Callithrix jacchus: one gene and its partners. The protein of the gene in region 2 purifies or fractionates together with the protein of the main gene of each other region. This does not show direct contact. Links are inferred from orthologs where the notes say so. Each region holds a gene or a part of one and is shown on either strand. Other genes may lie near its edges.

Region 1 (3,652 bases), on a different chromosome or scaffold from region 2:
CACCATATTGTTCTTCCCCTTTCTCAAGAGAGCCTGTGACTTTCTTACATGCCTTGGTCAACAAAATCTGGCCAATTTTGTCCACTTTTCCTTTGCCCTTACTAGATGAGACTGGGCTTCGCCGGTTGACAGAGGACCCTGGACTATTAGTCAAAAGGGGAGAAACCATTGTGGTTGACTGTGAAGAGGGAAGAGTGTTCTGATCTGCTGAGGTGTTCACCTGAGGGCTAGCCTCATCTGGATTCAATTCTTTCACTTGCTGGACAGGGGGATGAAGAGGGACAACTGGAGAAGATGTACAAGGAGGGGAAGGAAGCTGAACAGGGGTGGCTCGTGAGCTAAGGACCAAAGGTCGACCTGTCTGTATGTTTGGAGCAGAACTACTGGAGGGGGTATTAGGCGGTACAGGAGCAGAAAATTTTATGTTCTGAGGTATGTGTAAAGGGCCAACAACTGCGACAGAGGGAGGCATCAAGCCAGAGTTGGTTGTCAGTGGGGCTGCAGGAATTGTGCTTGGCTGTGATCCTTTCATAACCTGAATTATTGAAGATGAATTGATAAAGACAGGTGTAATGAACTGAGGCCGGGCATTAGACTGAGCAGCTGACTGTCCCTCAGAAACCATAACCTTGCTGCCCACGTTGGGCATTGTGACGACTGTTGACATCAATGCAGACTGCAAGTGAGTTGGCAAAGCTGCTGATGTGTTAGCTGAAGTTGTGATGGGATTGGAAGTGACAAATACAGTTATTTGATTTGGGGGCAAGGGAGTGGAAATGGAGGAAGAGTTAACAGGTCTTGACATTACTGGAGGGATGCTTGGTGCAACGTTAGAACTGACCTCACTCAATTCGGGATGCACAAGGGTTGAACACGGCTCATTACTGTGAGGTAAATTTAAGGAATTAGAGGGTTCTTTAGAAGAAGACGGATCCTGCAATGTGGGAATGACAGATGCTTTTTTGAGGTCCTCCCCAGAAACTACTGGAGGTGTTACTTCCAGATCTGTAAGCACAGTGGGTTTAATCGTCACATTAGGAGCTCCAGAGTTGTCAAGAAGTTGACTTAACGATGTTGGTGCTTCCCTCATAGCAGGAGACACCAAATTTTTGTTCTCTTCAACACTGGGAAGTTTGTTAGGATCCAAAGGCTGCCCATCCTTTTTGGATTGATCTTCAGGGACAACCATTTTAACTTCTTGGGCAGGGACTGCTTTTAACTCAACGTTTACCTGTTCCTTCCTACCCTGGGAATTCTGGCAATCACTGTCCTGAGGCACAATCAAGCTCTCCTTGTTATCCTCAACAACACCCCCAACTGCAGCCACAGACACAGTAGGATTCTGAGGATTTAGCCCACTGTTGTTAGGAAAGCTTCCCGGCACAGGGGGATTGGTCAGAGGAGTGGGACTGACCAATACATTTCTCGGCAACTCCACATTCTGCAACAGGGCTGCATTTGTTTGAGAGGCCAGAGTAAGTTTAGGGGCTTTAGAATTTTGCCTTCCAGGGCTTGGAGTGGTTTTCCTACTGGACCCAGGACTAGACCTGCGACTGTTGCTTGGACTTGCCCGTTTCGTTGCTCCAGAATTAGACTGCTTTCCAGAAGTCACTACCACAGAGTCTAACTTGTGAGTTTGTGGGGCAGCAAAATTGGAAGGATTCATCGTAAGATTTGAAGGTGCTTGCCCAATGGCCTTCAAAGTTGTTGGATTTAGGCCTTGTTGATCAAAGCCCCTGTTTAAATTTGGCCTAGGAGGTAAAGGAATATTAATCTGTGGAGGGAAGAGTCCTGCTATGGAGGCATTGAGTCTTTCTGGTGACAGACTGATTTCTGAAGGTTCTGTGCTGGGAGGGCGGTTGTTGGGTGTCTGAGGATAATAGGGTCTGGGGCTGGCTCTGTTTGGTGTTTTGGGCCTAGATGTCTGGGTTGGTGCGGCCACATTTGGAAAGTGGTGGCCGTGAGAGCTGGGCAGGGAATTTACAGGGGGTTGCTGGGGGGTTGCACCTTGAGTTGCTGAAAGGGGTGATGGTCCAGGTTTTGGCCCTGTCATCATTAACTGATTTTGGGGAAGTACTACATGTGACGGCATGTTGTTTGGGCCTCCTGAGACAGATGGTGCTTCACTGCCACTTGCTTCAGGGAGTGAGGCCATCTCCGCCAGTGGTGAGCTGGAAGGATTCTGCGGGCTCTCCTGATAGACCATTTTCCTTGAATTGCTTCCCAAAGGAGTAGTCACAGGCATTGGCATTCTTTGTTTATCAGGTGATGGTGGCACGGAGGTAGGTCCTTGCAGACTGACCATGACAGGCATACTGCCACTCTGTTGCATGGGCATTCTCTGGGAGTCAGGATTCAGGGGGCCTCTTGGAGGATGGACACTTTGAGAGACTGGAAGCCTAACTGATTTGGGATCCTGCTGCATCATGAGCATCATCATCATTTGCTGCTGCTGCTGCTGCTGTTGCTGCTGCTGCTGTGACTGTGGCTGACTGGGAGGTGGTGGCTGCTGCTGCTGAGGCAGTTGTGGCTGTGGCTGCTGCTGTGGTGGCTGTGGTGGGGGTGCCACATGCTGCATGAGTTGAGGAGGCATCTGCTGAAGTGGCCTCTGTTCAACTGGTTGAGAAGGATAACCTAAAACAAGCCCCCCAAATCAGGGAAGTTAGATTTTTCAGCAAGAAAATGTTGCTACCTTTAGAGTATAGCCAAGCAATACTCATCTAGGTGGCACAGATTATGCACAAACAGCTCAGGCACGCCCACTCCTGTGGCATGGGGCAGCCCCTCATTATGTGATATAAGCAAAAGGGACACAGTGCTTAAGGAAGCAAAAAGCAAAGCATCAAAAACCTAGAGCTCCTTGGTGTGCAGGGTCTGAATGAACCATGACTGTACTCACAGCCTGATTTTCTGTGCTATGCACTGAAAATAACTGAGCCTATACCAGCCAAACATTCAGGTGAAATGAAAAAAACTCCATCAACAGCAAGTGCCTGGCCACCCAGGATTCAGGTCTCATGTAGACATAATCAATATTTCAATGTACTTGTGAATGAAGTAAAGCATTTAGGATTCACTTCTTCTGTTAGAACAGGAATAATTTTTTAAAAAGATGTGATTTTATTGAAAATAGCAGAATTGAAGACAGGCTTTTTATTCTTTCAACAGAAGTAAAATATAAAATTCTAGGACTCAGTTCCTTAAGAAAGATTTAAAATTATTCCAATTCATTGGCTTCATACACTATGCCGCATCCTTGAGGCTTAATCCTTTGGGGGAAACCAACTGAATTAAAATTGCCCCTCAGACGTAAATCAGTTTGGTAAATAGCAGGAGCTAACAGAAGCTGATATACACACTGAAAATAAAACTAGGGCACTGAAGTGTTATTAATTTCCATTTACTTTCTTACATGCAAATCTCTATTTGGAGAAATAGTTTCCATGAATCCACAGCTTGAGAATAAGACAGAAGCATAGCCCTCAGGAATAAAAAATAATTTTGGGAAAAGAAACCTGAAGGACAATGTCTTCTAGATATGCAGAGGGCAACATCTCAAATGATTCTCTCTTTTGTAAAGATTTTACTTGGCATTTTAGAACCAAAACTTGACAATCAGAAAGGATAAAAAGATATGCAAACCAAGAGTAAC
Region 2 (3,652 bases):
TCCTGTCCCTCCTCCTAGGCCCACTCCTCATGAAGATGACGCGGATGAAGACCGCTGTGATGACATACTTCCCCTTAATGAATAGTACGTGTATTTTCTCTTATGATTTTCTTAATAACATTTTCTTTTCTTTAGCTTACTTTATTGTAAAAATACAGTATTAGACATATAAAATCTGCATTAACTGACTTTATCTCTAAGGCTTCGGATTAACTCTAGGCTATCAGTAATTCAGGTTTTGGGGACTCACAAGTGATGCACAGATCTCTGATTGCGTGGCGGTCAGCACCCCTAGGGCCCAGACTATTCAGGGATCAACCGTACCCGTCCCTCCGGAATCTACCAGTGCCTTTGTTTGTTTGCTACCCAGGAAGCCTCCCTTCTGGTCCCAAGTCTGGTTTTCTCCACACCTACTTTCTCATCTGGCATTTCCCCTCACCTCCATCCTGGCAATTCTCTTCCCATCTCGGAGTCAAATCCCTCATTTCTTACCACATCTTACTCTCTACTGGCATAGTGGCTTCCTAAGGAAGAATACAAGGGAGGTACTTTTTTGACCATTAGTATACAAATATCCATATTCCATTTCTTGTGACTAACAGGCTCTATTTAGGTTGGAAATTATTTCCCCTCGAAAACAAAAGCTGCTGCTCTGTCGCTGGCTCCTGAAACCACCCCGACTCCTGATCTGTCCAAGTTTCCCTTCCAGGGAACTTGCGTTTGTCTGACAGAAAAGTGTTCTCTCCAGCCTTGTGAACGTTCCCAGAAGCCTTATCACAGCTCTCCTTCCATTTCTCTTCAATCTGGGGGCACACAGCCTTCAGCTGCCAAGCTACGTTCTTTCCTAACGTTTTTGCCTTCATTTTCTCTGTTCCCAAGCTCCTATTTAATGTCAGACCTCTCAGATAAATCCTTTAACTTGAGAACAAGACCAAAAACCCAAACTTTTCTCCACTAACTTTCATATCTTTGAGTTTCATTGTACTTCTCAGGACAGTTTCTCAATGTTGCCTTTGAACACTTGTTGACTTTTAAAAAGTTTCTGCTGCTGCCCTTCTCAGAACTGCCCCTCCCTCCCTCACCCCGGCATGTCCTTTGCCTCTCTCCCCAGCCGACCACAGTCATCTCCCTGGTTGCTCTCAGATTCAACACTTTACTACTTAAAACACACAGCCGATCACTCCACCTGCATCGAAATTCCACCACACGGTACATCAACAAGTTCTTGGAAGACACGGAAGACAGGCCAGCCCTGGCTCCTGTACCCCCTCCTGCCTTGCGGATCCCACTGAGGCACCATCCTTTGCACCCTCCTGTCAGTTTCCCCAATTACATGCCTTCGCCTGTGCTGCACTATTTGCAAACTCCTTCCCGCCTAATTCTTACTCCTAGCCATTCCATAAGCAGTTCAGGAATCACCTCTCCCAGTAGACTTTTCTTAACACATCACCCCACAACACAATGGGTGAGGGTCCTTCTCAGGCTCTCACAACGGCCTGCACCTGCCAACCTGCGTCTCCCACAGCTCTTTGGCTTTCTTTGTCTCTGCGATTTCACATACCTTCCCTAGGTCTTGCAGGCTTGGCATATAGCAGGGATTTAAGCACTAGGGATGTTTATGGTGAAGCACATTAAAAATGTATTAGAGGCATATTTAAACTCAGTTTTTATTAAAAAAAAAATGTTTTTTTGACTCAGTATTATTCTGTGGAATGCAAGAAAGAAAAAGCATGTCTTTTCTTTAAAGGCCACCATGCAAGATAATAAATAGATAAATGAACTAGTTTCACATTTGGGCTAAAAGACTTTGAGGTTCTAGAGATTCCGGGATTCCTAACAGTTACCTTTGGAGAAAGAGAAATGACTGAGATGCATACAAATTAATGGTCCTTCTCCCAGGACACCAAAAACCCGAACTTATTTCCATCATCCCAATTATATACAAATAATTAGTACCTCTCGGAATTTCCAAGCTGGAAAAAAAAAATGTCCACCATCTTCATCTAACAGCTGAGAAAACTGATGCCCAGAAAAGCACTGTGCCTGAGGTCAGAGAATGTTAATCAAAATGCCTGTCACGCATCAGAACACATGTAGGCGCAGCTCAGCGAATGCAGTCTAGTGAACATAGTTACGTCTACGTAAGAAAGAAGCATCTTCAGACACAAAGTCATCCTTCCTCCAGGCACAATCTTACCCTTTTCCATGTGGCCAGCAGTTGCTTATCAGACATCTGCTCTGGATAATCCGCAATTGCAAACACACATCCCAATAAGAAGGCTTCTTCTGGAACTAGAATAAAATTATGTAAGAAAAAGAAAATTAAACCTGATAAATGTGCTTGCACAAGTTAAAAAGTGGCACCTTACAATGTGAATCTGTTATGTTCACCAGTCTTTACCATGTATCTGCCAGTAATCAGAGTGCATGGGGAATACTGCTACAATTATACTAGTTAACTGTCTGCATCAAACAAACATTAAAAACTAAAAGCAAAATAAATTATGCCTGGCCATTAAATACCCAAATGTGTCCCTGGGGCAACCCAGATGTTCTATGGGACCCAATATTCACTTCAGCATACGATGTCCCAAAGTATAAAGGAAAGCATAATCATCCTGTGATAACTATATTCTTAGTCAGGTATGAGGCTCACATTCTCCATCTTGTAATAATTGTTTTGATATGAATCCTTACCCAACACTCAAACACTCTCAAAGCATTTATGCGGGTACAAGACTTTTAGGAGGAAAAAAAAATCTCCATTACTAACTCTCCACTGCTGGATCATGTCCAAAAAGCTGATGATGCTGAGGTGGTGGTGGCGGTGGTGGCTGCTGCTGCTGCTGCTGCTGTGAAGGCTGCTGAGATGGAACCTGATGCTGCAGTGCCTGTGACGTTTGACTCAAGTGTGGCATGGTCTGACTTTGCATCTGCTGCTGCTGCTGCTGCTGCTGCTGCATGCGCTGGAGCTGCTGCTGCTGAATCTGCTGCTGCTGCTGGAGCTGGGCGAGCTGCTGCTGCTGCAGCTGATGGAACTGCTGCTGCAGGGCATGCTGCTGCTGAAAGGACTGGAGCTGCTGCTGAGGGCGATGCAACTGCTGCGGAGGATGCAACTGTTGCTGTGGAAACTGTAGCTGTTGCTGCGAAAACTGATGCTGATGGGTTTGCTGCTGCTGCTGCTGCTGCTGCTGCTGCTGTGAAAATGGGTGTGGCGGCTGCTGGGGGTAAGGGTGCTGAGAAAGCTGCTGCTGCTGCTGCTGGAGCTGCATTATCTGCTGGGGCTGAAGGTGTAAAACCGGGTGCTGCGGCGGCTGCTGTAACATGTGTGTCTCCGGAGTCACTTTCACTTGGCTGAACAGCACTGCACTGGCATTTGTATGGCCCTGCTGGCTGTGATTCACCTGCTGTTCCAAATTTTTCGTAGGTGCTGAAAGAGTCTGTAAGATCTACAAAACAAAAGTTAGGTCAAACATGATCAACAGTTCCTGAAATGGACGAATGACAGTTTCTTAGTCAAGAGAATAATAGCATATCCTACAGATTTATTCATAATATTCAACCAAGCAGACACAGCAAATGATTGGAAACTTCAAAAACGATACTGCATTTGCTTTTATATTTATTTTGTAACACCAATATCACAAAGTAA
Region 3 (3,652 bases), on a different chromosome or scaffold from region 2:
CACTTGCACCCTCCCAAGCCTAAACCAGGAAGAAGTTGAAACCTTGAACAGACCAGTAACAAGGGCTGAAGTTGAGGCAGCAATTAATAGCCTACCAACCAAAAAAAGTCCAGGTCTAGATGGGTTCACAGCTGAATTCTACCAGACGTACAAAGACGAGCTGGTACCATTCCTTCTGAAACTATTCCAAACAGTACAAAAAGAGGGAATACTTCCCAAATCATTTTATGAAGCCAAAATCATCCTGATACCAAAACCCGGCGGAGACTCAGCAAGAAAAGAAAACTTCAGGCCAATATCTATGATGAACATAGATGCAAAAATCTTCAATAAAATACTGGCAAACCAAATACAACAGCACATAAAAAAACTTATCCATCACGATCAAGTAGGCTTCATCCCAGGGATGCAAGACTGGTTCAACATACACAAGCCTATAAACATAATTCACCACATAAACAGAACCAAAGACAAAAACCACATGATTATCTAAACAGATGCAGAGAAGGCCCTTGACAAAATTCAACAGCCCTTTATGCTAAAAACTCTCAATAAACTAGGTATTGATGGACTGTATCTCAAAATAATAAAAGCTATTTACAACAACCCTACAGCCAATATCATACTGAATGGGGAAAAACTGGAAGCATTCTCTTTGAAATCCGGCAGTAGACAAGGATACCCTCTGTCACCATTCCTATTCAATATAGTATTGGAAGTTCTAGGCAGAGCAATTAGGCAAGCAAAAAAATAAAGGGTATTCAATTAGGAAAAGAGGAAGTCAAATTGTCTCTATCTGCAGAAGACATGATTGTGTATTCAGAAGACCCCATCATCTCAGCCCAAAATCTCCTTAAACTGATAAGCAACTTCAGCAAAGTCTCAGGATACAAAATCAATGTGCAAAAATCACAAGCATTTCTATATACAATAACAGACTAACAGAGAGCCAAATCATGAGTGAAATCCCATTCACAATTGCTACAAAGAGAATAAAATACCTAGAAATACAACTAACAAGGGATGCAAAGGACCTCTTCGAGAACTACAAACCACTGCTCAACAAAATGAGAGAGGACACAAACAGATGGAAAAACATTCCATGCTCATGATTAGGAAGAATCAATATCGTGAAAATGGCCATACTGCTCAAAGTATTTTCTAGATTCAATGCTATCCCCATAAAGCTACCAATGACCTTCATCAAAGAACTGGATAAAACCACCTTAAACTTCATATGGAACCAAAAGAGAGCCCACATAGCCAAGACAATTCTAAGCAAAAAGAACAAAGGTGGAGGCATCATGCTACCTGATTTCAAACTATACTACAAAGCTACAGTAATCAAAACAGCATGGTACTGGTACCAAAACAGATATATAAACCAATGGAACAGAATAGAGACCTTGGAGGCAACACCACACATCTACAACCATCCGATCTTTGACAAACCTGACAAAAACAAGCAATGGGGAAAGGATTCCCTGTTTAATAAATGGTGTTAGGAAAACTGACTAGCAGTGCAGAAAGCTGAAACTGGACCCCTTCCTGACACCTTACACTAAAATTAACTTCAGATGGATTAAAGATTTAAACATAATACCTAACACCATAAAAACCCTAGAAGAAAACCTAGACAGGCCGGGCGCGGTGGCTCAAGACTGTAATCCCAGCACTTTGGGAGGCCAAGGTGGGTGGATCACGAGAGATCGAGACCATGCTGGTCAACATGGTGAAACCCCATCTCTACTAAAAATACAAAAAATTAGCTGGGCATGGTGGCACGTGCCTGTAATCCCAGCTACTCAGGAGGCTGAGGCAGGAGAATTGCCTGAACCCAGGAGGCGGAGGTTGCGGTGAGCCGGATCACGCCATTGCACTCCAGCCTGGGTAACAAGAGCGAAACTCCGTCTCAAAAAAAAAAAAAAAAAAAAAAAACCTAGACAAAACCATTCAGGACATAGGCAAGGACTTCATGACTAAAATACCAGAAGCATTGGCAATGAAAGCCAAAATAGACAAATAGGACCTAATTAACCTCCAGAGCTTCTGTACAGCAAAAGGAACAATCATTAGAGTGAACTGGCAACCAACAGAATAGGAAAAAATTTTTGCAATCCACCTATCTGACAAAGGGCTAATATACAGAATCTACAAAGAAATAAAACAGATTTACAAGAAAAAAACAAACCCATCCAAAAGTGGGAGGAGGATATGAACAGATATTTTTCAAAAGAAGACATTTGAGGCCAACAAACATATGAAAAAATGCTCATCATCACTGAGTATTAGAGAAACGCAAATTAAAACCACATTGAGATACCACTTCACGCCAGTTAGAATAGCAATCATTAAAAAAATCTGGAGACAACAGATGCTGGAGAGGATGTGGAGAAATAGGAACACTTTTACACTGTTGGTGGGAATGTAAACTAGTTCAACCATTGTGGAAGACAGTGTGGCGCTTCCTCAGGGACCTAGAAATACAAATTCCATTTGATCCAGCAATCCCATTACTGGGTATATATCCAAAGGATTACAAATCATTCTATTATAAAGACACATGCACACATATGTTCATAGTAGCACTGTTTACAATAGCAAAGACCTGGAACCAACCCAAATGCCCACTGATGATAGACTAGACAAGGAAAATGTGGCACATATACACCATGGAATACTATGCAGCCATAAAAAACGATGAGTTTGTGTCCTCTGTAGGGACATGGATGAATCTGGAAACCTAATTCTCAGCAAACTGACACAAAAACAAAAAAAAATCAAACACCACATGTTCTCACTCATAGGCAGGTGATGAACAATGAGAACACATGGACACAGGGAGGGGAGCATCACACACTGGGGGGTCTGTTGGGGGTAGGGCCAAGGGAGGGACAGCGAGATGTGGGGGAGGTCAGGGAGGGATAACATGGGGAGAAATGCCATATGTAGGTGACGGGGGCATGAAGGCAGCAAACCACATTGCCATGTGTGTACCTATGCAACAATCCTGCATGATCTGCACATGTACCCCAGAACCTAAAGTACAATTTAAAAAAAAAAGGGGGTTAAAAAAAAAAAAAAGCAATTTACAGGATTACTTCTCAAATCTGATACATCAATTTGACCTCAACATCTAAGCATATCAAGGCTTCTGTCAAACTCTTACTTTAGATGAATGACTACAGCATGTTTTGCTTACTTTCCATAGCTTAAAAGATCCAAATTATGTTTCAGCATTCTTATCATGCCAGTAAGTCAAGCATTTTCACTTGACGAACTTTTGCACACTAACCTGCATGCCTTCAGAACTTCTGCTGAGCTGGGATATATGGACACAGACACTGATGGTATGATCTGAGGACTAGGTTTGTGGTTAACTAGAAGTAGATCTGTTTTCATGGGGCTCTGAGATTCTTCCATCCCTTCTCCATTAATTGTGTGTAGCCCACTGTGAGGGCTGTTAAGGCTGGTAACACTGTTTGTGGTTGTCTGCTCAGTGGATTTTGGAGAAGGTGTTGCTGTGGAAATGGCTGAAGATGGTGAAGAGGCAACAGAGTTATCAGTCTTTGTATGAACAGCTGGGTGGATGTTATTGACTTTGTCACAGGTTCCAGTACCCACATTGTTATTGGCTTTTCCCATCAACAAG

Evidence for each region.
Region 1: the proteins of PAXIP1 (region 2) and NCOA6 purify together in Homo sapiens (co-immunoprecipitation; 6 studies listed by BioGRID and IntAct, with this or other methods). This does not show direct contact. The link is inferred for Callithrix jacchus from reciprocal best matches to the Homo sapiens genes PAXIP1 and NCOA6.
Region 3: the proteins of PAXIP1 (region 2) and KDM6A purify together in Homo sapiens (affinity purification with mass spectrometry; 6 studies listed by BioGRID and IntAct, with this or other methods). This does not show direct contact. The link is inferred for Callithrix jacchus from reciprocal best matches to the Homo sapiens genes PAXIP1 and KDM6A.

The regions. Positions count from the first base shown.
Region 1 is NC_133506.1:4,564,820-4,568,471, reverse strand, and holds part of NCOA6 (nuclear receptor coactivator 6), read right to left. Parts: intron 2,635-3,652; coding exon 1-2,634. UniProt on the Homo sapiens protein: Nuclear receptor coactivator that directly binds nuclear receptors and stimulates the transcriptional activities in a hormone-dependent fashion. Coactivates expression in an agonist- and AF2-dependent manner.
Region 2 is NC_133512.1:93,231,117-93,234,768, reverse strand, and holds part of PAXIP1 (PAX-interacting protein 1), read right to left. Parts: intron 3,450-3,652; coding exon 2,774-3,449; intron 2,293-2,773; coding exon 2,198-2,292; intron 1-2,197.
Region 3 is NC_133524.1:45,987,188-45,990,839, reverse strand, and holds part of KDM6A (lysine-specific demethylase 6A), read right to left. Parts: coding exon 3,296-3,652; intron 1-3,295. UniProt on the Homo sapiens protein: Histone demethylase that specifically demethylates 'Lys-27' of histone H3, thereby playing a central role in histone code. Demethylates trimethylated and dimethylated but not monomethylated H3 'Lys-27'.